Linked DNA regions of Macaca fascicularis. The protein of the gene in region 6 interacts with the protein of the main gene of each other region in a biochemical or structural test. Links are inferred from orthologs where the notes say so. Each region holds a gene or a part of one and is shown on either strand. Other genes may lie near its edges. The genes, in order: PSMC5, MED1, NCOA6, TADA3, TRIM24, RARA and NRIP1.

Region 1 (4,374 bases), about 8.9 Mb from region 6:
TGCCTCCCCGACCCCTGCAGTAGGGCTGGCTGGGGCAGGAGTAGTAAAGTACAGCTTGGCCCTCCTGGAGAAGCCCTGCTCCTCACCTTGGGCTGAGCAATGCCCAGTGCTTCGAAGAGCTCAGGATGCTTAACAGGCAGCTCGATCACTTCTTTGATCTCCTTGATCTGTTTGTCCAGTCCACCAATCATCTCATAAGTCGAATCTGGTACTTTCTCTACCATCATCAGTGACACTAATGGGTCTACCTTGTTGGGCAGGATCTTGTGCAGAGTGTAGCTGTCATTCCTTAGAGCCACCCGGCAATTGGGTGTCACCTGGGTGAAGGGGGTGAGTTTCAGAAGTGGTACAATAAGAAATAAGAGCTGACCCCACCACCACCTCACCTGCTACACTCACGTCATTGATGTCAATGTTTTTGTCCACGTCTACAACAAATTTGCCTTCAGGATGTACCTAAAGAAAGAAGAGCTCATGATCTTCCTTGACAGCCACCAAATCACTAACCCTACCCAGGAAGACCTTCGAGAATCCCACAATACCTTGACAGAACACAGAACCCTGTCTCCCAAGGCTACACACAAAGGGGTGGGAATCCAGTGCAGACTGAGCTGGTTGGTCCCTGGGGTCATGCTGCTTTTACCTTGACCAACACTTTCTTCTTATCCATGGCCCGGACTACTTCCCCCACATAGGAGCCCTGTTCCTGCAGCAGCTGTAGCTCCTCCCGCAATAGGCGAACTAGATGGCAAACAGACACAGTGGTCACCTAGCTACTCCTTTGGAGTTTCCAGGACCCAATTCTACATGCATGAGCTAAGCATCATTCTTAAGTTATTAAAGGAAGACCAAAGATAAAAATTCATGTATTTAAGGAGGCTACAATGGAGCTCGGGAAAAAGAGATGCATGTGAAACTACTAGATGACAGGGAGAAAACAGTAAGCACTGCTGTGAAGACACTGTGCAGGGAGGTTAGGACAGACCTCAGACAAACTGCCCACATGCGGCTTCCCATCTTTCCCCACTCACCTTTAGCATTTAGTTCATTCCTCTGTGCCTGCAGCCTCCGGAGGTTTTGGCTCTTATCATTCACAATCAGCTGTGGCAGACAAGAGACAAATTCCATTACTCAAGGGCAGGAGACAGGAGGAGGTAGGATCTTGGCCAAGACCTCACAGGTCAGAATGAGCTGAGGGAAGGGCACAGGGCACCTGTGTGTTGTTTCAGATTCTCCAGTATGATTCTAATGACCCTGCCCTGTCCTCCAAGAGTCCCTCTGGAGCTTATGGCAGCCATCAAAGAAGGCTGCTTGTCCAATTCTGGTCCAGGAATAACAGAATCTAATGGAGAAAAGTTACAGCTGGCTCATGTAACACCAAATTTCTCACAGGAAGGCAACATCACCTAGTGGAAAGAGTGTTAGGTGAGAAGTCTGAGTTCTAGCCCAGCTGCTGTCAATCAAAAGCAAGGTAAAGCTCAGGCAATCTATTTTAAAAAATCTAGATCTGTTACCAAATGGCACATGGGTATAGCATCAGCTGCCCTGCTCCTTTTCAGGACTACTGAAGTGAACGAATAAAAACACATGAAAAAGCATTCCAAAATGGTTAACTAAACATAATACCTGCAAATGCACTTGGAATTCAGAATTGTTCTTTGTGGCTTTCCCCCATCCAATTTATATTACAGATGACACTTGAACAACGCAGGGGATTAGGACGAAATTGAAAATACATGGACTTGTCCAAAGTTAAACTACTAACAGCCTACTGTAACATAACACTGTTAACACTAACAGCCTACTGTTTATGTTGTTGGTAATGTTTACTACTGGAAGCCATACCTACTACTGAGAGTCACACCTTACTGCTGGAAGCCTTACTGGTAAACATAAACATTTCATTAACAACATAAACGGTCCTTTTTCTATGGTTTAGCGCTTTAGGCTAGCGTTCTGGGTTGCCCAATTTCTTTCATTCAGTCTCTATGGAATTAGCATTATCCAGATGCCTCAATGATGCCTTTCCTCACATTCTCACTTCACCCTCACCCAACCTCTTGGTGATAAATTTCATCTCCTGAGCTTGTTTCCCTTTCATAAGAATCCTTTTCATTCGGGCTTCTTCCAAAAGGGCTGACCTTTGGCTAGAGGTACCTTTTCTGTTAAGATTTGACTCTTGAAAATGTTTAACAAACTGTGAACACTATGACCCTCAAAGGGGTGGGACTGGAGGAGAACAAGAGATTGCTTACTTCTGATACACACACCCTACTAGCTAAGAAACAAACAAGAAAGGAGAAGCAGCAGCTTCTTCCACTGCACTCCCAGTGGAATTAGATGGATTTGTGGAAGTCCGTTTCCATCCCCCATCATCCCGCTTCCTAGCTCTCTCTGAAGTCCGTCCTCACCTGGAGTTCTTCAATCTTGGACAGATAATATTGGCGGAGTCCGCTGCCTGCCTTCCCCTCCTCCAGTTCCATCTGAAGACACAGAGTGAGTCTTAAACGACAGGTTAAACATCCGAGGGGATAAAGCCACTTGCAGGGCACTTTGAATAAGGTTTGACACCAGGTAGCTTTGCGTAGTAAAAAAAGTTTGGACTTCGGAGGCTCAGCATCTGGGTTCTAATCCCTCCCTCCCTGGGAACCCTCCATTTTCCCACGACTAAAATAAAAAAATGGGAACGCCGCCTACCTTGTACGACTTTTAGGAGGACCGAGAGGCGATATGATATACACGGGGGCGCTTTGCACTGCGTGAAGCGCTCTACAAGCCCGAGGTGTCGTTACTGCCGACGGAGCAAGCGGAACGGAGCCGAAGGACTGGCGTCCCGTCTCCTGCGACCCGTGGGCCGGCCGTTCCCGCGCCCATCGCTCCCCTCACTCACTCCGCTTCTACCGCGTATTCCTCTCCCAGCCTTGCCCTGACTCACCGAGGGCGGCGCTGACACAGCAGATCCAGTCGCAGGCAGCGTCCAGCCTGGACTACTCCAGCCACCTCCGACCCACCCAACCCTCCTGCCCCGGCCCGCTCTCCACTTAGATTACGCTCGCTCCGCACCCAGCCCCGTAACCTGCCGGGCCGCCACTGCAGCCGCCATACCTGCTCTGGCCCGTCAAGCGCCATCTTCTCTCTTCAGCAGAGACCGCCGGCATCCGAGTCCCCTTTGCGCGCAGGCGCGGAAGCGGAGGCTTGTGACCTGAAGACCAGGCAGAGAAGAGTTCCGGGTCAATGGGCGGGGTGCGCGGCCAGACCACACTAACTAAGGGGACCATGATGGGAGGGGCGGCTACGAGAGTTCAGGGGCTTTGGAGGGGGAAGAGGAAGGAGCAGAACTCCTCAATGTTGCCTCATTGAAACTATGTTTGTAGTTCTTGTAATGTGCCTTCCTAGTCTCAACTTTCAACTTACAAAATCCGAGGACAGAGTACCGAGAACAATCTATGGCCACACTCAAAATGGCGGAAAACCTCGAGCCAGGGACGCAAGCGGAAGCGGAAGTACGTTTGCTGCATACATGTGCGGTTCCGAGTGTGGAGAAAGCGGCCGTGGGTCTAGGTAGAGTGTGCGGAGAGGGGAGCGGAGTGGAATTGCTGCGGGAAGTGGGAAACTGAAAGAGGAATCTGGTGATCCGGAAAGAGACGTCCTCAACTTCTACTTTCTCCCCAGATTGAGCGATACTCCCCCATTCCACCATGGGCAAGAAGGGCAAAGTTGGCAAGAGCCGACGGGACAAGTTTTATCACTTGGCGAAGGAGACGGGTGAGTCCAGATTCGCTCAGTCTGCGTGCGAGCGAGCGAGCGATCTCTGCCCGGTTCGCCTGCTCTTTCTGACCATTGTGTACCTCTCCTGCAGAAGGGGTAGTGGGTTGCGAGGCTGGAGAAATCCTGCTGGTGATGGTGAAGCCCTCTGCGCACTTGGTTGTTTTGTCCAGGTTACCGTTCCCGATCTGCTTTCAAGCTGATCCAGCTCAATCGCCGCTTTCAGTTCCTGCAGAAAGCCCGAGCCTTGCTGGACCTGTGTGCTGCGCCAGGGGGATGGTTCGTAACACTTGCCACAGGTTGCTCCTGGTGGCCGCTTTCTGTGTTCTGAGCTGCGATGGTTTCCAGTTTCATTGCGGGAGAGGAATCCCGAATCCCGGTCCCCTTGGAGGCCGTTTCCTTTCTTGACTGCAGAGAAAGGACTTGGAATACGTGCCTATGATATGTTCTGGCCAGTGCACGTAACACCAGGGATGAGAGGTCAGTTGCCAAGAGGGGGACAAGGATGGCTGTAGGTTTTTAAATTCCTATTCCTTTTATAGGCTGCAGGTAGCTGCCAAGTTTATGCCTGTATCCAGCCTTATTGTGGGTGAGTAACGGACAGCTCTC
Region 2 (3,883 bases), about 980 kb from region 6:
TGGGTAAGTTGTTGGGGGAGTGCTACACTGGCTTGGAGCTGGAGTGATGTGTGGTGTATCCAGTGTGTCAGCTGTCATGTTGACATCAAAGATAGGGTTCTGTGAGTCAACATCCATTGAAAATAGCTCCCTCTGAAAGTCATCTTCAGTCTGGTGCTTTGGTTTCTCGGGTGGTAATCTTGATGACTTCTTTTTCTTGGTCTTGTTGCTCCCCGAGCATATTTCCATCCGGGGTGAGCCGGAAGAGGAGTTCTGCCTTTCTAAAGGGCTGCTTCCATAAAGGGTTGAGAAATCCTGGGCAGGATTATCTTTAAGAAGGTTCATGAGCATCGGGTGGTTCTTGGTGTTGCCGGCCATCGAAGAGACAGGTGGCGGCGTGTGATGAGGAGGGGTCGGACTCGAGCCAATGGTAGACCCCCCGTTCCCTGTGATTTGCAACAAACTGGTAAGAATTGGGTTCTGAGACACCTTGCTGAAGTCCTCCCCATGGCCCACCGACTCATGCCGATCTTTGATGCTCATGCTCATATTAAACAAGGTGGTAATGGGACCCCCCGGAAAGGTGTTGGTTGGTGTAGTGGTACCACTCATTGGGTTGTTGCCTGTGGTCATGCCATACCCTGGGCTGCTAGCCGGGGGCAGGTTCTTTTTCACCATGTCTTCAACTGTCTCTGCAATGAGGGACAGTGCTGGGGTGTCGGCCTGAATGGTTTCAGCTTTCCTCCGAATAGCCCTCATCGTCACAGGGATGGACATACATCTGCAAGATAAGGAAGAAAACAAAGTTAATATTTCAATAGCTGCTGAATGAGACCTGAGATTTAGATAAACCATCAGAGTTCTGCAGTAAGCAGTTTCCAGGTAGGGCAAATCGTATAAGGCAAAAATAGTTCTATCAAATACCAGAGCTTTGGGTAAATACATTATAAAAATCTAACCCAACATAAAATTGTCAGTCTCTTATGAATCACACAACAAAAGCAAACTATAAACAAGAGTCCAAATAATTGAATTTCAAACTGAACTAAAAGAAAATTGGTAATAATGGAACTCAGAAAATGCCTCCTTAGGGGCCAGTCGCAATGGCTCACGCCTGTATTCCAGCACTTTGGCAGGCTGAGGCAGCTGGAACATGAGGTCAGGAGATCGACACCATCCTGGCCAACATGGTGAAACCCCATCTCTTTTTTTTTTTTTTTTTTTTTTTTTGAGACGGAGTCTTGCTCTGTAGCCCGGGCTGGAGTGCAGTGGCCGGATCTCAGCTCACTGCAAGCTCCGCCTCCCGGGTTTAGGCCATTCTCCTGCCTCAGCCTCCGGAGTAGCTGGGACTACAGGCGCCCGCCACCTCGCCCGGCTAGTTTTTTGTATTTTTAGTAGAGACGGGGTTTCACCGTGTTAGCCAGGATGGTCTCGATCTCCTGACCTCGTGATCCGCCCGTCTCGGCCTCCCAAAGTGCTGGGATTACAGGCTTGAGCCACCGCGCCCGGCCAATGAAACCCCATCTCTACTAAAAATACAAAAATTAGCTGGGTGTGGTGGCACGTGGCCTGTAATCTCAGCTACTTGGGAGGCTGAGGCAGGAGAATTGCTTGAACTAGGGAGGCGGAGGTTGCATTGAGCCAAGATCATGCCACTGCACTCCAGCTTGGTGACAGAGCAAGACTCTGTCTCAACAACAAAAAAAAAAAAAAAAAAAAAGCCTCCTTAGGTCAGGCGTGATGGCTCACTCCTGTAATCCCAGCACTTTGGGAGGTCGAGGCGGGTGGATCACTTGGGAGTCAGGAGTTTGAGACCAGCCTGGCCAACATGGTGAAACCGTGTCTCTACTAAAAATACAAAAAATTAGCCAGCCGTGGCGGTGTACGGCTGTAATCCCAGCTACTCAGGAAAGGGAGACAGGAGAATCACTGAAACCCAGGAGGCAGAGGTCGTAGTGAGCCAAGATCGTCCCATTGCACTCCAGCCTGGGTGACAGGGCAAGACTCCATCTCAAAGAAAATGTCTTCCTTGGGGGCTTCATATGGCAATTACAAGGATACATAATTTATTTTAATTAAGGAACCATTAGAAAAATCTTGGCTGGTCAGAGTGGCTCACGCCTGTAATCCCAGCACTTTGGGAGGCCGCAGCAGGCAGATCACAAGGTGGGGAGTTTGAGACCAGCCTGGCCAACATAGTGAAACCCCATCTCTAATTAAAAAAAAAAAAACACAAAAAAAATTAGCTGGGCGTGGTGGTGGGTGCCTGTAATCCCAACTACTTGAGAGGCTGAGGCAGGAGAATTGCTTGAACCCAGGAAGCAGAGGTTGCAGTGAGCCGAGATCACACTACTACACTCCAGCCCAGGTGACAGTATGAGACTCTGTCTCAAAAAAAAAAAAAAAGAAAAATCTCTTGACCTATCAATTTCTAAACCTTACTGACTTAGATCCCAAACCTACACCTGTTATAAAAAGTGCTATTTGTTATAAATCTTATTTTAAAGCAAAGCACTTATTTTCCAGATAAATTTATATTCATAAACCTCAGTTTGCAAATGTTTTGCTCTAGAACATATGTCAGCAAATTTTTTTTCTTTTTTTTTTTTTTGAGACGGAGTTTTGCTCTTGTTGCCCAGGCTGGAGTGCAATGGCACGATCTCGGCTCACGGCAACCTCTGCCTCCCAGTTTCAAGTGATTCTCCTGCCTCAGCCTCTCGAGTAGCTGGGATTACAGCCATGGACCATCACGCCCAGCTAATTCTGTATTTTTAGTAGAGACAGGGTTTCTCCATGTCAGTCAGGCTGGTCTCGAACTCTTGACCTCAGGTGATCCGCCCACCTCCCAAAGTGCTGGGATTATAGGCGTGAGCCACCACACCCAGCCAGCAAATTTTTCTTTGTTTTTTTTTTGAGATGGAGTCTCGCTCTGTTGCCCAGGATGGAGTGCAGTGGCACGATCTTGGCTTACAGCAACTTCTGCCTCCCAGGTTCAAGCAATTCTCTACCTCAGCCTCCCAAGTAGCTGGGATTACAGGAGCCTGCCACCACGCCCAGCTAATTTTTGTATTTTCAGTAGAGATGGGGTTTCACCATCTTGGCCAGACTGGTTTTTAACTCCTGACCTCATGATTTACCCACCTTGGCCTCCCAAAGTGCTGGAATTACAGGGGTGAGCCCCCACACCCGGCCACAAATTTTTCTTATAAGGTCATGTAGTAATATGTTAGGCTTTGTACGTCACGTTTCCTGTTCACCTACTCTGCAATATTACCTAGAAATCTGCCACAGACATGTAAATGAACAGCAGTGTTCCAATAAAATTTATTTACAAAAATAGGCTGCCAGACCTAGCTGTAGAAAAATCTCACAAAATTACTTATTAATGGTTCTGGGATGCATACTGGCTTAACTATCTTTCATGCAACAATTAAGTTGGCTTTTTATTTGAGATGGCATCTTGCTCTGTCTACCAGGCTGGGGTGGAGTGGCACAATCTCAGCTCACTATAGCCTCTGCCTCCCAGGTTCAAGCAATTCTCCTGCCTCAGCCTCCTGAGTAGCTTGGATTATAAGCACCTGCCACCACACCTGGCTAATTTTTGTATTTTTATTTATTTATTTAGTTTGTTTGTCTTGAGACAGAATCTCACTCCATCACCCAGGCTAAAGAACAGTGGCGCGATCTCAGCTCACCACAACCTCTGTTTGTTTGTTTGTCTGTTTGTTTGTTTGTTTTGAGAAAGAGTCTCACTCCATCACCCAGGCTAAAGAACAGTGGTGCGATCTCGGCTCACTGCAACCTCCGACTCCCAGGTTCAAGTGATTCTCCTGCCTCAGCCTCCCAAGTAGCTAGAATGACAGACAGATACCACCATGCCTGGTTAATTTTTGTACTTTGATAG
Region 3 (4,318 bases), on a different chromosome or scaffold from region 6:
CATCATGTCTTTGAAATTGTAATTATCAGATCCATCACTAAATCTGATTTCTTAATGTGCTGATAAACAAGTATATGAGGCCGGGCGCGGTGGCTCAAGCCTGTAATCCCAGCACTTTGGGAGGCCGAGACGAGCGGATCACGAGGTCAGGAGATCGAGACCATCCTGGCTAACACGGTGAAACACCGTCTCTACTAAAAAGTACAAAAAACTAGCCGGGCGAGGTGGCGGGCGCCTGTAGTCCCAGCTACTCCGGAGGCTGAGCCAGGAGAATGGCGTAAACCCGGGAGGCGGAGCTTGCAGTGAGCAGAGATCCGGCCACCGCACTCCAGCCTGGGTGACAGAGCGAGACTCCGTCTCAAAAAAAAAAAAAAAAAAACAAGTATATGAATATTAGATTTGTATATGTTGGAAACTATATTTCCATATAATTGGTGTTCCTTATAATTCAATGTACTTTATTTTATACAACTAAAAAATATTATTCTGAAAGGGGTCCATGGCACAGATAAGGTCAGGTCTTCCTTCATTAGAAAAACCCAGGTGGCTCACGCCTGTAATCCCAGCATTTTGGGAGGCCGAGGTGGGCAGATCACTTGAGCTAAGGAGCTCAAGACCAGCCTGAGCAACATGTTGAAATCCCATCTCCACAAATTAAAAAAAAAAAAGAAAAGAAAAACCCAGAACAAATGAATTGTGTTGCAGTATATACATATGGTATTGACAATCTTATTTTATATTTGCCCTCATAACCTTTCTGTTCATTAATTCTCTTTGATTATATGGGGCCCTGGACCTATTTTCCATGACTAGTTTGCATATTTCCTTCAGAACTCTCCCATAGCCCACGCGAACTTTGAATTTTTCTCTAACATGATCCAACTTCAATTAACAAAATAGACACTCTGGGTCTTTACAATTTTTCACTTTTCTTTTTTAGGATTTTGTGTCCCTTTGTGGTAAACACCTAGAAGAGAAGAAGTATTTCTTTTTTCTTTTTTTTTTTTTAGACAGTGTCTTACTCTGTAATCCAGGCTGGAATATCATGGAACGATCACAGCACGGCTCATTGCAGCCTTGGCCTCCCAGGCTCAAGCGATCCTTCCACCTCAGCCTCCTGAGTGGCTGGGACTAAAAGTACAAGCCACATCAGGTGGCTAATTTTTTTTATTTTTTTGTAGAGATGGGGTCTCCCAGCTCCTGGGCTCAAGCAATCCTCCCGCCTTGGCCTCCCAAAGTGCTGGGATTACAGGCATGAGCCACTATGGCTGGCCGGAGCATCTCTTAAAACTCTACAAAGTTAGAAGGTCTCAAAGACAACAACTTTGCACAATTAGAGATGAGCCAGGAAATACCAAAAAACTGGCTGCCTACCCTCTTTTGTATTCCCTTCAGCCTTTGTATTGCCAAAGTCATTAAAGGAACAAAACAAATTTAATAGTTATCTGGTATATACTGTTACGCTTCACTTCTTATTGTTTTTGTTTGTTTGCTTTTAGTTTCATCACAAGAATGTTATGGTTCATTTCTTAACACCTTTCTCCCAGCTAGCAAACTCCTTTAAGGCAATGTGTTTAGTGAGCAGGCAGCTGACCATTTCCAGTAGACCCTCTGCTACTAACTTGTAAGATCTTGAAAAGTCAACTTTACCTTTCTGTTTCAGCTAAAATCACTACCTGATTTGAAATCTTTACTTGATCTCTCAGGCCTTTGTAGTTTTTATACATTCACTCTTCTTCACCATTTTACTGGCTTCAATAACGCCTTTCGGATGACCTCTCCAGGTGACCCTGCTCTTAAGCTGTGGGCTGTCCCCTTCCAGGGAAGACACCTTGGGTCACCGCCCCCAAACAGCCGGGTCCCTCCTTTTAAAGACACACACAATTCCCTAAGTTGATAAAGGTTCTTTCCTTTCTTGCCAACCAGTTCCACTCTCTGTGCCTCTTTTGCCGGTCAGCTCCTGCACCCAAACCTCAGTCCCCTTTTGTCCCCCTTTTCTCTCATCAAACACCTCCTTTTTCCTGTTGCTTCCCCCAATAGGGGGTGGAGGATGCTTGGAACGTAAGTCTTCAGAGCCTTGGGAGTTATACAGCTTTGCAAATCAGCCCCAGTACCCCAAGGACTGCCCCAATCTGATACCAGCGTCTGTACCCAAAGGGCCCTCATTCCTCATCCATCACCTCCTTCCCTCCCCGCAAAGAACTGCTCCAGCCCTGACAGCCTAAGCTTGGCCCCCATGCCTCCACCCCAATCACCAGGTTCTACCTGCACTAGTGCCCTAAGCCCGCCTAAGGCCTAACCCAGTTCCACGTCCTGCCATCCTCTCAGCCCATGGACCCCAATCCTGGTTCCTTTCGGATCCAGTGTTCCTTCTCCACGACCCTGACCACGACCCCACTACTGGCTCCCGCCTGTTCCCCGGGCCTGGAGCGCCACCCCGTGCAGACCCCGGCCAGCCCTGCACTCCCTCAGTGCGCCGGCCCCAGCGCCCAGCACCCTCCCCACCCCGCCGGGCCGCCGCTCCCTCCAGCGCCCCCGCCCGCAGGCCTGGGGCCCGCTCCCCAACATGGCGACGGGGACATAAGCGCGGCGGGCGGGGCGGCTCCGGGCCGGGCCCGCACTCAGACCGTGCCACTCGGTCGCCCGGCGCCATTTTCCCGCGCCGGGCCCGGGCGGCGCCTCCTCCCCGCGAAGCCAGCCCGACAAGGACCGCGGACACCCGGCGGGCCCACCCCTTACGGGCCCGCGCCGCCGTCGTCTCACCTGAGCGCGGCCCCAGCCCTCCCGGGCGGGCCTTGGAGCGCCAGCCCCGGCCGTGCGTGCCCGCCGCCCTCCGTGCGTCCGTCCGTCAGTCCTCGCGTGCGCCCGTCTGTCCGGCCACCCGCGCCCGGCCGCCCGCAGCCCGACCCGGCAGGGCCTCACCGAGCCGGCGGGGAGGGGGATGGGCCGGACCGGGCCGGGGAGGGAGGGGGAGGGAGGGAAAGAGGGAGGGAGCGCCAGAGGGGGCGGGGCGGACTCGAGGGGCGGGGCATTGCCCACGTGACCAGACGTCCCCGGGAGCGCGAGGTGGAGTGCGCGCCAGCTCGCTTGGGTGCTGTGAGCTTAATGCTGGGATCTCGTGGGTTTCTGTCGGCTTCCCAGTGCTATTCTCTCGCCAGTGAGTCCCGCTGGGGAAACACACACCGAACAGCCTTTTGCGAGCGCACTGAGTATCCTTGGAAATGGCAACTCCAAACCTCAGTTTACCCATCTGAAATATGGGGAAAATCATAGTTCTTGTGAGGAGGAAATGGAGGTAGGCATGGAAGGCACTTGTCACCGTGCCTGACACATAGTGTCTAATAATAAGCTTAATGGGATATAGATAAAAGCTTTCACTATTATTTGCCTCTAAATCCCTCTCTTCTTTTTCCCATCATTACCTCCCTAGCAAGCTAAAATGCTCAGGAAATAGAATTATTGATCGAACGAGTGTGGCCCCTCCCCACTTCCCAAATGTAGAAAGGCCTCCTCAGCACTGGCCTTGACGTCTGTCATACAGGCCTGGATTCATATCTGGCTTTCACTCTTTTTTTTAAATTTTTTGGGCCGGGCGCGGTGGCTCAAGCCTGTAATCCCAGCACTTTGGGAGGCCGAGACGGGCGGATCACGAGGTCAGGAGATCGGGACCATCCTGGCTAACACGGTGAAACCCCGTCTCTACTAAAAAATACAAAAAACTAGCCGGGCGTGGTGGCGGGCGCCTGTAGTCCCAGCTACTCGGGAGGCTGTGGCAGGAGAATGGCGTAAACCCGGGAGGCGGAGCTTGCAGTGAGCTGAGATCCAGCCACTGCACTCCAGCCTGGGCGACAGAGCGAGACCACGTCTCAAAAAAAAAAAAAAATTTTTGTTTTTGTTTTCTTTTTTCCCACACTACACTGATGTATTTTTTAAATTTTTGTAAGTACGTAGTAGGTGAATATATTTATGGGGTACATGAGATTTTGATACAGGCATACATCATGTAATAATCACATCATGGTAAATGGGGTATCTAGCACCTCAAGCATTTATCCTTTGTGTTACAAACAACCCAATTACACTCTAGTTATTTTAAAATGTACAGCTAAATTGTGTGTGTGTGGTTTTTGTGTTTTTTTTTTTTTTTGAGACAGTCTCACTATGTCGCCCAGGCTGAAGTGCAGTGGCGCGATCTCGGCTCACTGTAACCTCCGCCTCCCTGTTTCAAGGGATTCTCCTGCCTCAGGCTCCTGAGTAGCTGGAACTACAGGCGCCTGCCGCCACACCCAGCTAATTTTTGTATATTTTTTAAGTAGAG
Region 4 (3,883 bases), on a different chromosome or scaffold from region 6:
ATTTCATTGATAGTGGAGCTGGAAAGTCACTTAGTGATTGAGTCCAGCCTGCCCGTTTTCCAGAAGAGGAAGCTGCTGCTCAGGTCAGGGAGTGCTTAAGGCCTTGCAGCTGCTCTGCAGCAGGGTAAGGGCTGTGCTCTGGTTTCCTGAGAGCTGCAAGCCATTTCTTCATTGCCCATTACTTCTTTTTTTTTTTTTTTTTTTTTTTTTGAGACAGGTCTCACTCTGTCACCCTGGCTGGAGTACAGTGGCCTGATCAAGCTCACTGCAGCCTCCACCTCCCAGGATCAAGTGATCCTCCCACGTCAGCCTCCTGAGTAGCACTATAGGCATGTGCCACCATGCCTGGCTGATTCTAAATTTTTAGTAGAGATGGGGGTCTCACTACATTGCCCAGGCTAGTCTCAAACTCCTGAGCTCAAACAAGCCTCCCACCTCAGCTTCCCAAAGTGCTGGGATTATAGGCATGAGCCACCAGGCCCAGCTAAGGCCCATTACTTCCGTAACCGCACATGCCTGCTTTTCTCTCTCTTCCTCTCTCCCTCTCCTTCCCTCAGTGCCCCTTCCATCTGTGTTTTCTTCTTCTCACCTTTCAGAGAAAACATGAACTATTACAGAAAGAGGCTTTGATTCAGCCATGGGCTCAAGTCTCAGCTTGGCTGTTTATTGAGTGTGTGACCTTCAGCAGAGCACTTCGCTTCGCTGGGCCTTTATTTCCTCATCTGGTAAACAAGGAAAACAGCACTTCCCTCCTGGGTTGTTGTCAAGACACTTGAGAGTGTACATAAAGCCCCTGACACACAGTAGGCACGCAGCATACATTAGTCACCCTTATCCTTAAATATCCTGGCAGCTTGTCAGCAACTACCTCTCCTTTTAATGGCACTCGTCTTTACTGATCATCTGCTAGTAATCTGCAAGTCTCTTGCTGTGCCTCTCTTGCTGGTCCCTAGCACAATGTCTAAGAGACAATAAGAATGGCCAAATGATTAGCTGGGCATGGTGGTGGCACATGCCTGTAATCCCAGCTACTCAGGAGGCTGAGGCAGGAGAATTGCCTGAACCTGGGAGGCAGAGGTTGCAGTGAGCCGAGATCGTGCCACTGCACCCACTGCCTGGGCAACAGAGTGAGACATTGTCTCAACAACAACAAAAAAGGCCAAATGAATGTGTATGTCCTGTCCTGTCAGGGCTCTATGAAGTTAAGACACAGCACTTGCCTATGAGAAGCAGAGACTTGTTTGGGTTGCTTCCCTATCTCTTTAACTAAAGGGTAGCTATTCCACAGTCTTCCTCCAGATGTCACCTATACCTTTGTTGTGATCAATGCAGAACAAGATGGATGGGAGTTGACATCAAATGAATGGTAGGCACTGTGATGGATTCCCAAAAGAACATGTCTAAAACACTGGTCAATTTCTTGTGATAAGCAAATAAAAATCACAGATCTCTAACAAAATGTTAATAGTTAATTAGTCTAGGTGGAGAATATGCTGATGTTTATTGTATGATTCAGATTTTCTGCATGTATGAAATTTTTAATAAAAAAACTTTGGGGATAAAAAGAAAAGCAGCATGAAAAGACAAAAAATAAATCACACAACAATGTGCATATGGGTAACACTACTAAACTGCACACTTAAAAATGGTTAAGAAGGGTAAATTTTTTTTCTTTTCTTTTTTTTTGAGACGCAGTTTCACTTTTGTTGCCCAGGCTGGAGTGCAATGGTTCAGTCTTGGCTCACTGCAACCTCTGCCTCCCAGCTTCAAGCGTTTCTCCTGCCTCAGCCTCCCATGGGCATACATTTTACATTATGCCTCTATCACAATTAAAAAATCAAACCAAATCAAATCAATCGATCAATCAGTCACAGGTGCCTGAGCCCCACTCTGTGGAATTAGAATTTGTTTGACACATACCCGGTGGACTGGCCACTGCTGTTTCGAGGCTCTCCAGGTGATTTAGAGACCAGCCAGGCTGGAAAGCCTGTTGTAAAACCCCTGGAAGGTGACCAGCTGTGGCCACAGCCTCCAAGGCCACCCGCGGGACTGTGCATCCTGCTCACACTCACCTCAGCAGGTCGTGCTTCTTGGTGCGGTTGTGGGCACTAAGTGCCTTCAGCTCCGCCTGCCGTTTGCGCAGCTCAGCAAGGACCTCATCCTCAGAGTCCTCTGCTGGGCGGTCCTCAGACTCCAAAAGGCCCTGGGCAATTAGCTCCTCCTTGATGCGGCTCTCCAGGGACTTAGTATGCGGCACACTGCAGGGGGAGGCAGGCCCCTGTCAGACTCAAGAGCCAGCTTGGAGGAGGGCCCACCTTGGAGGTTCCCAGGGCTTCCCAAGCTCAGTGAAAACCTGCCTTTCCCTTTGGGCACCCCCTCTGTATCTATCCAGATACAAAGGGAAGGACAGACACATCTGGTCTGGTTTTTAAATACAAGCAACATATGTATCCACTATCCAAAAAATATGGAAAAACCTGTAATGCCAACAACCCAGAGAGAATCATTATTATTTTATTATATGTTATTATATATATATTCCAGATTTTGTTATATATTATTCCCAATCTTTTACTACATATTAGTCCAGGTTTTTTCCCCTATGTGCATGTATTTAAATATATTTTAAGTAGGCCAGGCATGGTGGCTCATGTCTGTAATCCCAGCACTTTGGAAGGCCGAGGTGGGAGGATCACCTGAGGTCAGGAGTTCAAGACCAGCTTGGCCAACATGGTGAAACCCCGTCTCTACTAAAAATACAAAAATTAGCCTGGCATGGTGGCAGGCGCCTGTAATCCCAGCTACTTGGAGGCTGAGGCAGGAGAATTGCTTGAATCTGGGAGGCGGAGGTTGCAGTGAGCCAAGATTGCGCCATTGCACTCCAACCTAAATGACAAGAGTGAGACTCTGTCGCAAAAAAAAAAAAAAAAAGAAAAAGAAATACATTTTAAGTAAAAATAAGATTATAAAAATATGTATCTGTACTGGCCTACAATTAACATTTTCCCCACTTGGCACTCTATAATTTATATCTTTTCATGTCATTTACCTATATTTCTCTATACTTGCAGCTATATGATTAATAGTTGCAAGTTATTTCATCATATGGAGTTATGCCAATTTAGCCAACCACTCCCCTTCAGCAGGACATTTGGTTTATTTATGGTATGAACAGTTCTGTGCTGAACAACCCTGCACTCAGTCTGTGCATGCAGACACATTGGGCCAGCACTCACACTTGAGACTGCTATTGGGCTTCACCTAACTGTCCCCAGCCTCTTATTGATGAGGAACTCCCCAGGTTGAGATGGAGAGAAGCCAACAGAAGTGGGCGCCAGACTGTGGGTTGTGGATAGGACACCACTCACCTGAAGGGCTTATTCTGATTGCGAGGGGAGGTGCTTGCCCCGTCAGCCCCTGATTCTTTCCCAGACATGTCAGGAATAGGAGAATCCTCCATAGGGGAAATAATATTTTCCTAGAAGACCACAGAAATGGGTGGAAGGAAAAAGAGCTGTTCCACTTTCCTGCTCCTTTCTGACCTACACTGACAGTCTTCAAACACCAGAAATATCCTTTTATCTTTCCCATCCCACCTACTCTGGGAAGCCTTCCCATACTGATCCCAAATTGCTTTGATCATTCTAGAAATCCATTTTTGTACTGATATGAAGAAAAAGGAACAAAAGGAACACAGAAGAGAAATGATTAACACTCAATGATGGTAATGAACAGCCAAGGTTTGTGAAGTGCCTGCAACGCACCAGGCACTGTGCTAGGCCTGCTGTGGCAGAGGTGCTAGCTGTCCGAACGCCACTCTCCTGTCCTCCATGGCAGCTAGGCAATGCCTCTCCAGCTGCACTACATTTCTCAGGCTCCCTTG
Region 5 (3,883 bases), on a different chromosome or scaffold from region 6:
CTGAATTCTCTCCTGCATTCCCTGATCTGAAAAGTTGGAAATTTTTTCTAACTCAGACATCTTGGTCTCCTATGTTGACACGGTGTTTAGTATAAAATGATTTTCACACTGCTATTCCTTCCTGCCCCTCCCCTCCCCTAGCCTCACCTCATTGAATTCAGCACAGTTTTGAAAGATCAATCTAAAATCAGCTACAAAATCTTCAGGTTTTGAGTACATGGAATAATCTTCTTGTAGTCTTTTCTTGATGGTTGACAAATCCATTGGATTTTTAATTATTTTGTAATAATCAGGCACCTTTAAAAAAAATGAGATGTTATAATATAAATAGCTAAATTCTACCTTGTCCTAAATATAGTCTATGAGATGTGCTCTAAAATTCAGAATGTTCTCATTGCTTTTCTCTGTGCTATCTGTCATTAGTAAAGAAACCCATTTAACAGTGTTCACTGCCTTCCACATACATACTGGTAAAGGTTTGTGTTACTTTTTCCAAGAAGTTTAACCAATTATTGTTTTTGAGACAGGGTCTTGCTCTGTCACCCAGGCTGGAGTGCAGTGACACAATCTCGGCTCACTGCACTTTGCCTCCTGGGCTTAAGTGATCCTCTCACCTCAGCTTCTCGTGTAGCTGGGGCTACAGGCATGTGCTAACATAGCTGGCTAATTTTTGTATTTTTTATAGAGATGGGGTTTTGCCATGTTGCCCAGGCTGGTCTCAAACTCCTGGGTTCAAGCAATCTGCCTCCCAAAGTGCTGGGATTACAGGCATGAGCGACTGCACCCAGTCCCAATTATTTTTAATGAAAAAACTTGTCTTCACATATTCTCTCTTAAATCACCTAGATTTTCTTTCATTATTAAACAAAAAGCAATTACTAGAAATAATATCATTTCTAGTAGAATCTGACATGTTTTTGCTGCATGTATTTATATAACATGTGGTAAAGAGGAAGAAGGACTTCGAATCTGGGTTTAATCCCCAGCTCTGCTGCTCAGTATCACAGTCCTGGGTAAGTTACTTAACCTCAGTTTCTTCATATTCCAGATAGGAATAATCCTGCCAAGCTCACAACATTTTGTACAGACTAAATGAGATGGTATTTATTAAGAAAAAGGGGGCTACTTTGTCAGTGCTGTTGATATTAATAACGTAACTCTAAGCCAGGATAACAGAAAGCACAATTCAATACCCTGCCTCTTTTGGGTACAAACGAGCCTTCTCCCTGGAAGTATTTATTTCCTATATCAGGTTCTCCAAACCTGTTCTTAAGAAAGAAGCTGTTTATCAGCTGAATGTATTTACTAAGCTGATACTCTTCTAACTTTGTACTAATCTGAGATTTATCAAACTGTAGAACAAATTAATTTTTTTTTTTTTTTTTTTGGAGACAGAGTTTTGCTCTTGTTGCCCAGGCTGGAGTGCAATGGCGTGATCTCGGCTCACTGCAACCTCCGCCTCCTGGGTTCAGACATTAGAATACTTTTTTGGGGTACCAGGCCCTTTCCAGCACCCTAAAATTATGCATTAAAGTCACATCAAACTTTCAATATGAACCTCAACTTTTTTGTATTGGTAAAGTCTACTTATTTACTTGAAGTCTGGACCTATAAATAAAAATAAGTATGGAAAATTTAGCAGGGAGAGATGTCTTTATTTCAAACAAAGTTTTTTTCCAACAGCTTTGGAAACATGCCTAAAACTCCTGAGATACAGACAATTAACAGAAATCACCCCAAACACCCCAGTACTAAGTAAAATAGATGAGAAAAGACGAAAGAATACCTGAGAAATGAACACAAGTTTTGGGCCACTTACTAAAAATGTACCTATATAGAATCAAAGCATTCAGTATGTATTATTAAGATTTAAGGTTTAGATTAAAAAATACTAGAAAATGGTATATAAGCTAGATTCTCATAAATAAAAATTCCAGAAAAGCATTCCACTGTGTAAACATGCACAAAATGACATTAATACTTACAGTTAGAGGAACAGGGTCTTGAAAAGCCAGGCTCATTTCGTGGCAGTAAAGAAATAAAAGTAGGCGTTCACACTTCTAAGCAAAAATAAATAAAAACAGATAAAATATAAAACAATGAATTCACAGCTTATTTTAAATAACAATCTCAGAGGTTCCAAAGTATCAGACTAAAAATTTAAACTCAGATAAATACAAAAAAATTATTGATTCTTGGAGTTTTGTTCTCCTTCCGAATCATTAACTGAACTGTACTACTTGACAATTTAGGGTATATATGATATTTGGGAGCAGGCCCTGTAATTGAATGAACTGACAATCACTAGAAACCCATTTGAAGTTTTCTAACAATAAATTTGCACTTATTGCTCCAGTCTGTGTATTATAAATTAATAATACTCCATAAAGGAAGAACATATGTCTCTCAGGAGAACTGGAGGTGGACCTTCTCAATGCGCATACAGACCTAAGGCACCTCTCTGCATGCAGAAGGTCCAACCATGTGCTCTGCTATTCATACTTCCCTGCCTATGGGTTTATCCCAGTAACCACTGAGTAGTACTGGCAGTGAATGGGCACGTCCCCTCTTGCATGACAACTTTCATATTGATTGTTCTATTTAATAATTTAGCAAAGGCGTTTTTTTGGTAACAAAGTGTTGACTTGGTAGCTGTAAATGTTATTTACAGTTAAATGTATCAGTTGGCTTTGATGCATAAGTCTAGTCCCATTCGGTTAAAAAAAAAGAATTATTTCCAGGAAGAGTAAAGAAAAAACCCAGCTCCTTGGTGGCAATTCTGAGGAAAAAACTTATCTATGGTAGAAATAAAACAAAATAGAAATTTACTTAAGGTAGATTAAAAGTCTAGGCTACATACTCCATCTTGTTCAGGTACAATAAGCTTCTATAAAACACACAAAATTCTGTGACTTTTTTTTAAATTTAAAGAAAGTTATACCTTTGTAAAAAAAAAAAAAAAACTCCTAAATAAAAAGGATCAGTATAAAATCTGGATGGATATACACCTCTCTGATGAAAGGCACCACAGTACAATAATGCATCTTACCAAAAAATTGTCTAACATGCTAGGTTGGAAATGCTCAAAGACTTACCCTTTTATCTATAGGTGTTAATTTAACAAGGCCTTCAGTTTTCTTTTTTTCTGAGTTGTGACTGGGAGCATCACAATCATATTCAACTTCTGGTTTAGATAAGTCTCGGCAGAAAGTACAAATCCACTCTCCACTGTAGGGGGACAATGTACTTTTGAATTTCTAATGCATCATTTCCTCTCTTCACTATTTCCCTTTCCCACCTCCTCCATGACATCTATGATACAGAATTGTTTATTTGGCATGAATTTTATCACTCAGCATTTACCACATACCACTAGGTATACTGTACCATGCTGAGAGGAAACAGCAGAAATATAATGCAAGGGCCTAACATCAAAATCTAGTTAAGAAGGTGTGAGATACATATATGAAAAAACAACAACAAAAAAAAACCACCTAGACAAATTAACACATTAATCTAGGGCTCACATATCTAGGGCATAATTGAATTTTTTTCCTCCAAAGGATTCAGAAATCAGAAAAGCTCTTTGTACTGTTCTTGTTACTCTAAGTTTATAAAATTAAATTTTCAAAAGTATAGCCTTCCAAGAACTGAGAGATCAACCCAATGGCTCTTAACCATCTTGGTCAGGATGATGATCATCATCCCCATAGGGTTTGAGAATTTACTTGAAATACTTGTAAATGATACAGTTTGATGCCTGGAAAAAAGACATAATAAACTGGTAGCTGTTATGCCTAAGGACATTGTTCCTTATGGTGACACCTTGTGATAATTTAAAGGGCCTATTATTTATTTTCTTTTTATAATGACTAGGGAGAGG
Region 6 (3,883 bases):
GCCAAGCAAGGCCTGGAAGAAAGCCATCCTGGAGCAAACACACATGCACACATGCGCAAAAGCACACACAGCCAGACGCGCAGAAACAGGAACAGTTACACACACACGGTCCTGGAGCACAGACCTGCCCATGCACACACAGCCAGACGCGCAGAAACAGGAACGGTTACACACACACGGTCCTGGAGCACAGACCTGCCCATGCACACACAGCCAGACGTGCAGAAACAGGAACGGTTACACACACACGGTCCTGGAGCACAGACCTGCCCATGCACACACAGCCAGACGCGCAGAAACAGGAACGGTTACACACACACGGTCCTGGAGCACAGACCTGCCCATGCACACACAGCCAGACGCGCAGAAACAGGAACAGTTACACACACACGGTCCTGGAGCACAGACCTGCCCATGCACACACAGCCAGACGTGCAGAAACAGGAACGGTTACACACACACGGTCCTGGAGCACAGACCTGCCCATGCACACACAGCCAGACGCGCAGAAACAGGAACGGTTACACACACACGGTCCTGGAGCACAGACCTGCCCATGCACACACAGCCAGACGCGCAGAAACAGGAACGGTTACACACACACGGTCCTGGAGCACAGACCTGCCCATGCACACACAGCCAGCCAGACTCGCAAACAGGTCCTTGCGGCTACACACAAACCATCCTCAACCGTGAGCCCGCACACCACGGCATGCGTGTTCATGCATGTGCACACACATCCACAGAGCCCTGCTCCCTTGGTCTTTAGGAGCACCTGAGGCCCCAGCTCAGGCGGGACTCGGCTCTTGCCCCATGGCACTCACACTCCTTGGACATGCCCACTTCGAAGCACTTCTGCAGTCGGCAGTACTGGCAGCGGTTCCGGGTCACCTTGTTGATGATGCAGTTCTTGTCCCGGTGACACGTGTACACCATGTTCTTCTGGATGCTGCGGCGGAAGAAGCCCTGGGTATGGAGGGGAGGGAGTCAGGTTGTCCACACCCACAGTGGCAGCAGTGCCTGGCTATAGTCTCAGTCTAGGGGAGGAGGGCCAGGCCAGCTGCTACCCCCAAGCCTTTGCCCATCGCCTACCTGAGCAGGCCAGAAAAGCTGGGGAGAATGATTCACCTAAAAGGATCCTCCTCAGGAGAATCCCAGTACCCGCCTCAACGCCGCAGGATGGGCAGGAGTCTTCCCCCAACCCACAGCACACATCTGACTCCTCCCTTCCAGGGAAAGGACCTCAGGGCTGCTGGTGAGTCAGAAAGAGGAAGACATGGGGCTAACTGGGAAACAGCCAGGAATCTGGAACCCACAGCCCTGAACTCAGAACACAGGAAGAGAAGACAAGCCCGAAGAGGCCAGGAGTCAGATACACGGGCTGGCCAGAGAAATGGAGGCGAACACACACATGCACTCAGGAGCAAGGCAGAAAGATGCGAGTTCACCGAGACAGGCGTGCGCCGGCCCATCACAGACAAACCCAGGCTGGCCAGGGGCTCCACATACAGGGTGACCAGAGAGACAGGCGGACAGATGAAGAAGAGACCAGGAACAACCAGACAGGACAGGCAGACACACAGCCTGAGGCCTTGCGCTTTGCCCTTGACCTCTGTCCCACACCTGGGGATAGCTACTCCAGGCTGAAGAGCAGCCCAGAGCTGCAAGGCCCAAACCTGTGCAGATTCTGAGCCCCAATATCTGGAGGAAGAAATGCACACAGAGGCTCAGGCCCCGGGGAAAGGAGGAGAAGCTGGGCACAGGGCTGCTAAGGACCGGGTACACCTGCACCCTGGCACCTAACGTGAGGGTGGGGAAATTCAGCCAGACACCGGGGAGCCCACAGCCCGGGCACCTGAAGGGGAAGCCAAGGCACGGTGCCTGCTCCTAACTGCCTCCTGCCAGGCTGCCATGGTGAGGTTCAGGCAGGGCCGCCGAGGGAGGCCTCCTGGGTCCCCAGCCAAGAGCCAGTCGGCAGCCAGCTCACCATGGCAACCTGGGCAGCGGTGGCAGAGCAGGCATACGCCCTGCCAGCTGGAGGATGGAGAAAGGGAAAGGAGCTGAGGCAGGAGGGGACCTCTGGTTTGAGGGAGCCCTGCACATTTATGGGGCAGGACCTATGGTAGGTGTCCCTGCTTATTGCCAACTTCCACAGAAAAACAACAGCAGCAACTTCAGGGACACCCCCCACCCCAACTGCACACTCCCAGGACACGGAAGTGGGGATATCCCACTGACCTCATCAAGCTGTCCTTCCCAATGACCCCTTCAACTCACCTTGCAGCCCTCACAGGCGCTGACCCCATAGTGGTAGCCTGAGGACTTGTCCTGACAGACAAAGCAAGGCTTGTAGATGCGGGGTAGAGGGGGCGGCGAGGGAGGGCTGGGCACTATCTCTTCAGAACTGCTGCTCTGGGTCTCAATGGCTAGAGAGAGAAGAGGGGAGGGGCAGTTAGAGACCTAGGCCGCCATCCTTAGTACCAAGCTCCACCCTGCCTCACAGTCCCTCCTAAGAGCCTCTCCCAGCCTCACCACTGCTGGCAGGATTCAAGTCTTAAGAAAACTGGGACTCCCCAGCCAGACTCAGGGAAGGAGGCTGCCAATGAAGCCTCCAGCGCCCCATCACTCCTCCGGATTCCTAGGACCCACACCTTCAAAACCACAAAGAGACAATGATAAACCATCAGATTTGTATGTGTGCCGTGACTGTGCTTGGGGAGTAGGGGTGGGGGTCACCCTGATTCTAAAGCTCTTGCCCCTGGGCGGCCTGGCCCCGTTCTCCCCCGAGTTAGGAAGGAGTTAAGGCTTGAAGAGGAGGGAGGGAAGAGGACACAAGCCGGGGGCAGAGGAAACTGGGGTCAACAGGATATTCAAAGCTGGCCACTCCCCCGCCCCCTCTGCTTCCGCTCCCCCCTCCACCCCATTCTGCCAGCAGCCACAGCCCCTCCTCCACCCAAACAATCCCAGGGCCAGGGACCCAAGGCAGGGGGTGCAAACAAGAGTCACAAATGCTGGGCAGAGCAGGAGGTGTCTCCCTGAGATAGGCAGGGAGACACCCTGAATACAGGGAGAAGAGTCCCCAGGGCCCCAGAATCCCATCATTCTGGGTACCCCCCATCTGGGGAGAGACGGCATGACAAAGGGGGTCTGTTCCCATCAATGCTCTGTCTGTCTGGCCTCAATACCATGTCCGGGTTAGTACCCCTCCCCTTCTGTTATTCAGCTCCAAGAGGGCAGCCAGGAGGGGTGACCCAGACAGCAGGGGCAGCCCTCACTGGCCAAATCCTCCCCAGTGCCTGGCTCCATGCCACCCATCACTGTAGGCAGAACAGGGCTGGGTTGGGCAGGGGCTATCTGTGTCCAAAGCCTGGGCAGCTAAGGGTGTTGGGTGCAAGATAAGAACTATGACTGAGGCAATCCCAGATTCCCAAGGGGCCACCCAGCATCGTCCTGAGGCCTACCACGTTCAAGTCCACTTGTCCAGGGCCAAGGATGGATGAGGATGCCTCGCCAAGTAGACAGATCCCTGCCTCCTCCCATATTCCACAGTCCTACTGAGCCCTACCCCAAACTCCAGCACATGAAACTGGCTGGCATTTAAAGGTGCCCACAGCGCCTGGCCCAGGTACCTTACAGACATGAGTCACATGGCCCCAAATCACATGGCCCTAAAGTTGGGGCACAGGGGAAGGAAGCATGGGAACACCAGGGGCTGACTCTGTGCTACCACCCTCTGCCCTTACCTGCAGACACAGGGGGAGCTACTAGGCGGCTGATGACAGGGAACTAGGCCAACAACCTCGGCAGGGCTTTCCTGGCTCTTAGTAGTACCTGGGCACCACTTCCTGGCCAGCCTGGCTGACCAGCACTGCTATGGCCCCTC
Region 7 (4,503 bases), on a different chromosome or scaffold from region 6:
CCCAGAACCTATTAAGTTTATTTTAGACAGAATTGTGACAAGTGAGGCTATCTGGATTCCCAGTCCGCACTAGACTGGAAGTTACCAATCAGAAGATGAGGAGAATGTTAGTGACAGCTGTGCTAGTAACAGTAAGCAAAACAGATTGTCAGTTAGTGAAGGGGGAGAGAGAGAAATTACAAAAGGCAGAGATAATCATTAAGTCATGGCATCCTACAGTCCTTTGGTGTAGCGACTGATAGCGTTTGGACCTCCTGGGAGAATCCCTAACACCTAGGAAGAATATAGAATAGGAACTGGATATATTTCCTGAATCCACTACAACCTACTACAACAATTACTTTTAATAAAATTGACACTGAATTGTCAAGAAAATGCTAAATGATGTTCAATAAACCGCTTAAGAGAAACATTTGCAATACATTGTAGAAAAATCTTTGTATTATGGTTAAAAATAATTTTCGTAAAAAAAGTTTGACCCCCACTAAGGGGCCAAGCTCCAATTACGCTGGTCATCATTGAAACGGTTTGCTTTGTATCAATTCTGAATAAATGATGCACTAAAAAACAGCAGCCTTTACTAATTTGCCTACAGCAGATTTTGAATTGTGGTATATGCAAATAATATGGTATTATATGAGGTTTAACTTTTTAAAATGGCAACAGATTGCATAGTTCAATCAGTAGGGTGATGTAAAATAATTGTTTTTAAAAGTGCCATTGTCACTAAGGAAAACATCGGTACCATGTGCCCGGCACTGTGCTAGGTGCTGAATTTATTAAGCATTAATTTGAAAAATTGCTTTCACTTTCAAGACTGTGACAGTATTCTAAAACTCTCATTCATATTTTTAAAGGTTAAGTGAAATTTGCAGTACACAATACAGCCATTACATAACAGGCATAGAATACAGTTTCATGACTTGGATAGTTGTTGTTTTTTAAGCGCATTAGCAACTCCATTTTCAAATGCTATCAAATTCTTCAGGATATAAAAACCTACATGTAAGAATGGAGTGCCTCATCGGCTCATTTGTCTTATGTAATAAGTGTTTTAACACAGTCATGCCATTTCAGAATTTCGGGTGAGACTAAGCTATACTTTAGCTTTTTTGTGTCAAGCAAAAACAATTTCAGCAACAACATTGGTTTCCCCTGGTAATTTTTTTCATGGCGAATTACTAAATGCTGGATGCTCAAGTCAAAAAGAAACCTGACATCTGGGGAGGTGTTGAGGGGGTGTTAATAGTTCTAGGGAGATGTTTGGGGAGCGCTGAGGATACGATTTTTAAAACAGCAAATACACGGATAAGGGGAAATTATGGTTTCGTATGACTCTCTCCTCCCTCCACTTTCTCGTTTCAGCAGTCTGTAGCCCCCCCAATTTAGAGGCGGGTTCAGCGAGATTAGGCTGCAGGAAACCAAGAGGCTCCACCGCGCTGCCGCCCCGGCCTCGTGATGTAATTGTTATTTCTTATTCGGAGACTGAACCGAGGAGAGCTGCTGAAGAAGTAGCAGCTCTGCTCCTTTTGCCTTGTCTGGTTCCCGGGGATGATGTAGATTGGCTGACAGACTCCGCTGGAGACTTCGCAGTGACAAAGCAGCCGAGGATTAACCCTGCTCCTGGGTCCTACGTCTGTCCAGGGAGCTGAGCGGGGCGCTCCTCAGGTCTCCTTCCTAGTTTTCCTCCCGGAGTCGCTCCACATGAGGGCTGGGTGCCTACTACGTGCTGGGCGTGGGGTCAAAGTGACCCAGAGTTCGCGCCCGCGCCCCCCACGATTAAAGCAGGACACACAGATTACAAGGAGATAGAAATTGGGTGGGGGGTGAAAGGGGGCCCAGGGAGCGCGTGTTGTGGGGTGAAGGGGAGGAGGTAGACTTTTAAGGCGCCAGCACCCAGGCGGGGACCCTGGGGCGTCTGGGGTGCCCCGGTCCCCAGGCTCTGCCCAAACGGGAGCATTCGGCCTGGGTCCCGAGAGCGCTTCCCCGGGTTCCCAGGAGGAGCTGTCCAGGCGCCTGCAGCGGTCGCGGGCGGCTGGACAGAGCTGGGAGCCCGGAGGACGGCCAGGGCGCGCCGAGCAGCCCCTCTCTTGGGGACGCGGTCCTTTCGCTGCCTCCGGGCCCTGCAGCCCCGTCTGAGCCACCCGGAAAGCAGGCGAGGAGGAAATCCACGAACCATAGGGGGCTCCGCAGCTACCGCGAGCGGCCCGGACCCGCACGGCTTCCTCCTGACCGGCTGACAATGGGAGGGAGGGGGAGAAAAGGGTTAAGAAACTTGGCTGAAGAGCTGAATGGCGTGGGGCGGCGAGGGGAGGGACTGGGCCGCGGCGGACTCGGCGGCGGAGGGAGGAGCGCGGCTGCGGGCGGGCGGGCGGCGAGCGAGGCGCTCAAAGTCAGCCTCGCAGACATTGCAGCAGAGCCCCGAACTCGGGAGGCGGCGGCGGAGGAGGCGGCGGCGAGGCGCAGGGACGATCCGGCCCCACGCCCGCCCGCCACCCGCGCGCGCCCGTCCGCCCGTGGCCTCGCGTCCGCCGCTGCGCCGGGAGCGCCGCTGGTCGGAGGGAAGAGCTCGCCGGGGTGCCGGGCCAGGACGGGGCGGCAGGCGCCTTCGCGGACCGAGCCTGACGGAGCCGGAGGCTGGGAGCCGCGGCGGCCTGGGGTGAGTGACGGCCGCGGCCAGGGCGCCCAGAGTAGCGGCCGCCGGCGCCGCCGGAAACGGCCCCGGAGCGCGGCCCGCGTCGGCGCTGGCTTGGCGGGCAGGGCCGCGGGGGCGTCGGGGCGGCGGGGGCAGCGCGGCCGGCCGCGGGCGCGCACGGGGCGGCGTGGAGGGCGCGTTTCCGGGGAAATCCTGCCTCTGCTGCCTGGTTCGAGTCTCCCCGGGTTCTCGCGGGGGGCCGGGGCGGCGGGCCGGCAAGTTGTGGAGTGGCCCCGGGTCGGCCCGCCCGTCCGTGCCAGTTCTGGGCAAGGGGGCGGCCGTCGCGTGGCCCCTGCGCGGGGTCGGACACTGGAGCTCGGGGGCCGGGTCGGGGTTGCCCCTCGCTCGCCTGCCCTCTTGGTCGCGAACCTCGGGCACCGCTCGCTGCGCCGCTCTCGATCCTGCTGTCCAGCCGGATCCTGGGCGGCGCCTTTCGCCTGGGTGCCTGCCTGCTCCGTGCTTGCTGGATACCCGGCTGGGAAAGTGAATAGGAAAACGGACAGCTCGCCCGGCCCCCAACGGACCCCAGGCCCGCTCTGCCCGCACTCGCCGTCCCCCCCGGATGGCGTGGCTCACGGACCCGAGGCCTCAGCCATCATTTTACCAGGAGCCAGGGGCCGGCCCCCATTTAGGGTGAGCCCCGTGGAAGTCCGGGAGGCTGCCCTTTCTCCCTTCTGCTGTCCCCACCTTACTACTATTGCATATTGTTTTATGAAGGTTTTCGTGGACGTATTCTGCAGACCCTCACATCCCTTCCAAAGTAGTTTCCCAATTTTAATCAGGAGTTGGTGTTCAGTCTGAAGGAACAAAGGAACCAACTGTGTCTTAGAGGCGGACAGGCTGGGAGTCTGTGACACATGTTGATCTCTGAAGCATTCCAGGAGTTTCTACCTTTTATCACGTCAGTAATTGGCTGCTGAAGGTAGTAAAAGAAGTACGGAATGATAAGCACTTTTGCTTTTTAAAAATATTTTTTAATGGCACATTTTACTTTGGGGGAAAGAAGACGTTCTTAGGCACAAGGATTTTTAAAAACTCGGCCGGTGGAACTGAGGTGGAGTTTGTCTCTGGTATTGTAAATGATTACATGTGGGATTGTGAAGGAAATTGTGTCGTTAGAGGAAGAGAAGCCATCTGTAGGTGTCCGTAGTAAAAAATGGTTGTCGGATTATAGGTGATCAATGCTCTTTCTGTTTCTTGGGAAAATTTGTGAAGCAAGGGGCTTCGGTAATTCATTCTTTAAAGTTATGAATTGCATTGAATGCTTATTAGTGAATCATAGGTTTAGTAAGTGGGTGGCATTATTCAATGTTTAATCATCAGTTTTCCACCTTTGTGGAAGAGATAGTGAGATAATAGACTTTTTAAACAAATGGTGTTTCATCTGCTTAGCCCGTAAGTGTCGGTTGCCGCCTGGTGTATGTTGAAATGTTTTCACCTTCGAAGTAAGTGAATTGCTCTGCTTTTGCCCAGCAGTTTGGTAATGTCGATAGGGTTTATTTGGTTCAGGGGAGCGCTGGCTTCATCGCCTATAGTAACTTTTTTTCTGCCTGGGCATAGTTCCTAGAGACAAAGAAGGAGAATCAATTAGTGGAACAGCTACTGCCCTGCAGGTTACAGGATTGGTTGCTCTAGTCTGTGTCATACTCTAGTGGAGAAAGACCTCTTTCCAAACTTACCCTGGGAAGTGCCCTAGGAGTGTGAGCAAAATACACATCCAAAAAAAAAAAAAAAAAAAAAAAGGACTGTTCGTTGTTGATTTTATTCAAATGAGTTAGGTGAAAAAGGCAGGTTTAATGCCTGTGGGA

The links.
Region 1: the proteins of RARA (region 6) and PSMC5 form a complex in vitro, tested with the Homo sapiens proteins (2 studies listed by BioGRID). The link is inferred for Macaca fascicularis from reciprocal best matches to the Homo sapiens genes RARA and PSMC5.
Region 2: the proteins of RARA (region 6) and MED1 are reported together in a solved structure, tested with the Homo sapiens proteins (2 studies listed by BioGRID, with this or other methods). The link is inferred for Macaca fascicularis from reciprocal best matches to the Homo sapiens genes RARA and MED1.
Region 3: the proteins of RARA (region 6) and NCOA6 form a complex in vitro, tested with the Homo sapiens proteins (3 studies listed by BioGRID). The link is inferred for Macaca fascicularis from reciprocal best matches to the Homo sapiens genes RARA and NCOA6.
Region 4: the proteins of RARA (region 6) and TADA3 form a complex in vitro, tested with the Homo sapiens proteins (2 studies listed by BioGRID). The link is inferred for Macaca fascicularis from reciprocal best matches to the Homo sapiens genes RARA and TADA3.
Region 5: the proteins of RARA (region 6) and TRIM24 form a complex in vitro, tested with the Homo sapiens proteins (3 studies listed by BioGRID). The link is inferred for Macaca fascicularis from reciprocal best matches to the Homo sapiens genes RARA and TRIM24.
Region 7: the proteins of RARA (region 6) and NRIP1 form a complex in vitro, tested with the Homo sapiens proteins (4 studies listed by BioGRID). The link is inferred for Macaca fascicularis from reciprocal best matches to the Homo sapiens genes RARA and NRIP1.

The regions. Positions count from the first base shown.
Region 1 is NC_088390.1:70,333,190-70,337,563, reverse strand, and holds the start of PSMC5 (26S proteasome regulatory subunit 8), read right to left. Parts: upstream 3,161-4,374; 5' UTR 3,159-3,160; coding exon 3,106-3,158; exon of another isoform or gene 2,698-3,105; intron 2,503-2,697; coding exon 2,412-2,502; intron 1,102-2,411; coding exon 1,032-1,101; intron 742-1,031; coding exon 644-741; intron 457-643; coding exon 400-456; intron 318-399; coding exon 87-317; intron 1-86. Other genes in the region: pre-rRNA 2'-O-ribose RNA methyltransferase FTSJ3, read left to right, coding at 3,699-3,765, 3,939-4,044, 4,308-4,354.
Region 2 is NC_088390.1:60,452,974-60,456,856, forward strand, and holds part of MED1 (mediator of RNA polymerase II transcription subunit 1), read right to left. Parts: intron 761-3,883; coding exon 1-760. UniProt on the Homo sapiens protein: Component of the Mediator complex, a coactivator involved in the regulated transcription of nearly all RNA polymerase II-dependent genes.
Region 3 is NC_088384.1:90,870,915-90,875,232, forward strand, and holds the start of NCOA6 (nuclear receptor coactivator 6), read right to left. Parts: upstream 2,949-4,318; 5' UTR 2,764-2,948; intron 1-2,763. UniProt on the Homo sapiens protein: Nuclear receptor coactivator that directly binds nuclear receptors and stimulates the transcriptional activities in a hormone-dependent fashion. Coactivates expression in an agonist- and AF2-dependent manner.
Region 4 is NC_088376.1:148,044,847-148,048,729, forward strand, and holds part of TADA3 (transcriptional adapter 3), read right to left. Parts: exon of another isoform or gene 3,673-3,883; coding exon of another isoform or gene 3,649-3,672; intron 3,479-3,648; coding exon 3,369-3,478; intron 2,259-3,368; coding exon 2,073-2,258; intron 1,571-2,072; exon of another isoform or gene 1,371-1,570; coding exon of another isoform or gene 1,289-1,370; exon of another isoform or gene 631-1,288; coding exon of another isoform or gene 597-630; intron 1-596. UniProt on the Homo sapiens protein: Functions as a component of the PCAF complex. The PCAF complex is capable of efficiently acetylating histones in a nucleosomal context. The PCAF complex could be considered as the human version of the yeast SAGA complex.
Region 5 is NC_088377.1:180,256,599-180,260,481, reverse strand, and holds part of TRIM24 (transcription intermediary factor 1-alpha), read right to left. Parts: intron 3,229-3,883; coding exon 3,096-3,228; intron 2,061-3,095; coding exon 1,986-2,060; intron 298-1,985; coding exon 148-297; intron 1-147. UniProt on the Homo sapiens protein: Transcriptional coactivator that interacts with numerous nuclear receptors and coactivators and modulates the transcription of target genes.
Region 6 is NC_088390.1:61,434,409-61,438,291, reverse strand, and holds part of RARA (retinoic acid receptor alpha), read right to left. Parts: exon of another isoform or gene 3,462-3,883; intron 2,652-3,461; exon of another isoform or gene 2,533-2,651; intron 2,427-2,532; coding exon 2,278-2,426; intron 967-2,277; coding exon 825-966; intron 1-824. UniProt on the Homo sapiens protein: Receptor for retinoic acid. Retinoic acid receptors bind as heterodimers to their target response elements in response to their ligands, all-trans or 9-cis retinoic acid, and regulate gene expression in various biological processes.
Region 7 is NC_088377.1:32,171,223-32,175,725, forward strand, and holds the start of NRIP1 (nuclear receptor-interacting protein 1), read left to right. Parts: upstream 1-1,487; 5' UTR 1,488-1,668; intron 1,669-2,176; exon of another isoform or gene 2,177-2,244; intron 2,245-4,503. UniProt on the Homo sapiens protein: Modulates transcriptional activation by steroid receptors such as NR3C1, NR3C2 and ESR1. Also modulates transcriptional repression by nuclear hormone receptors.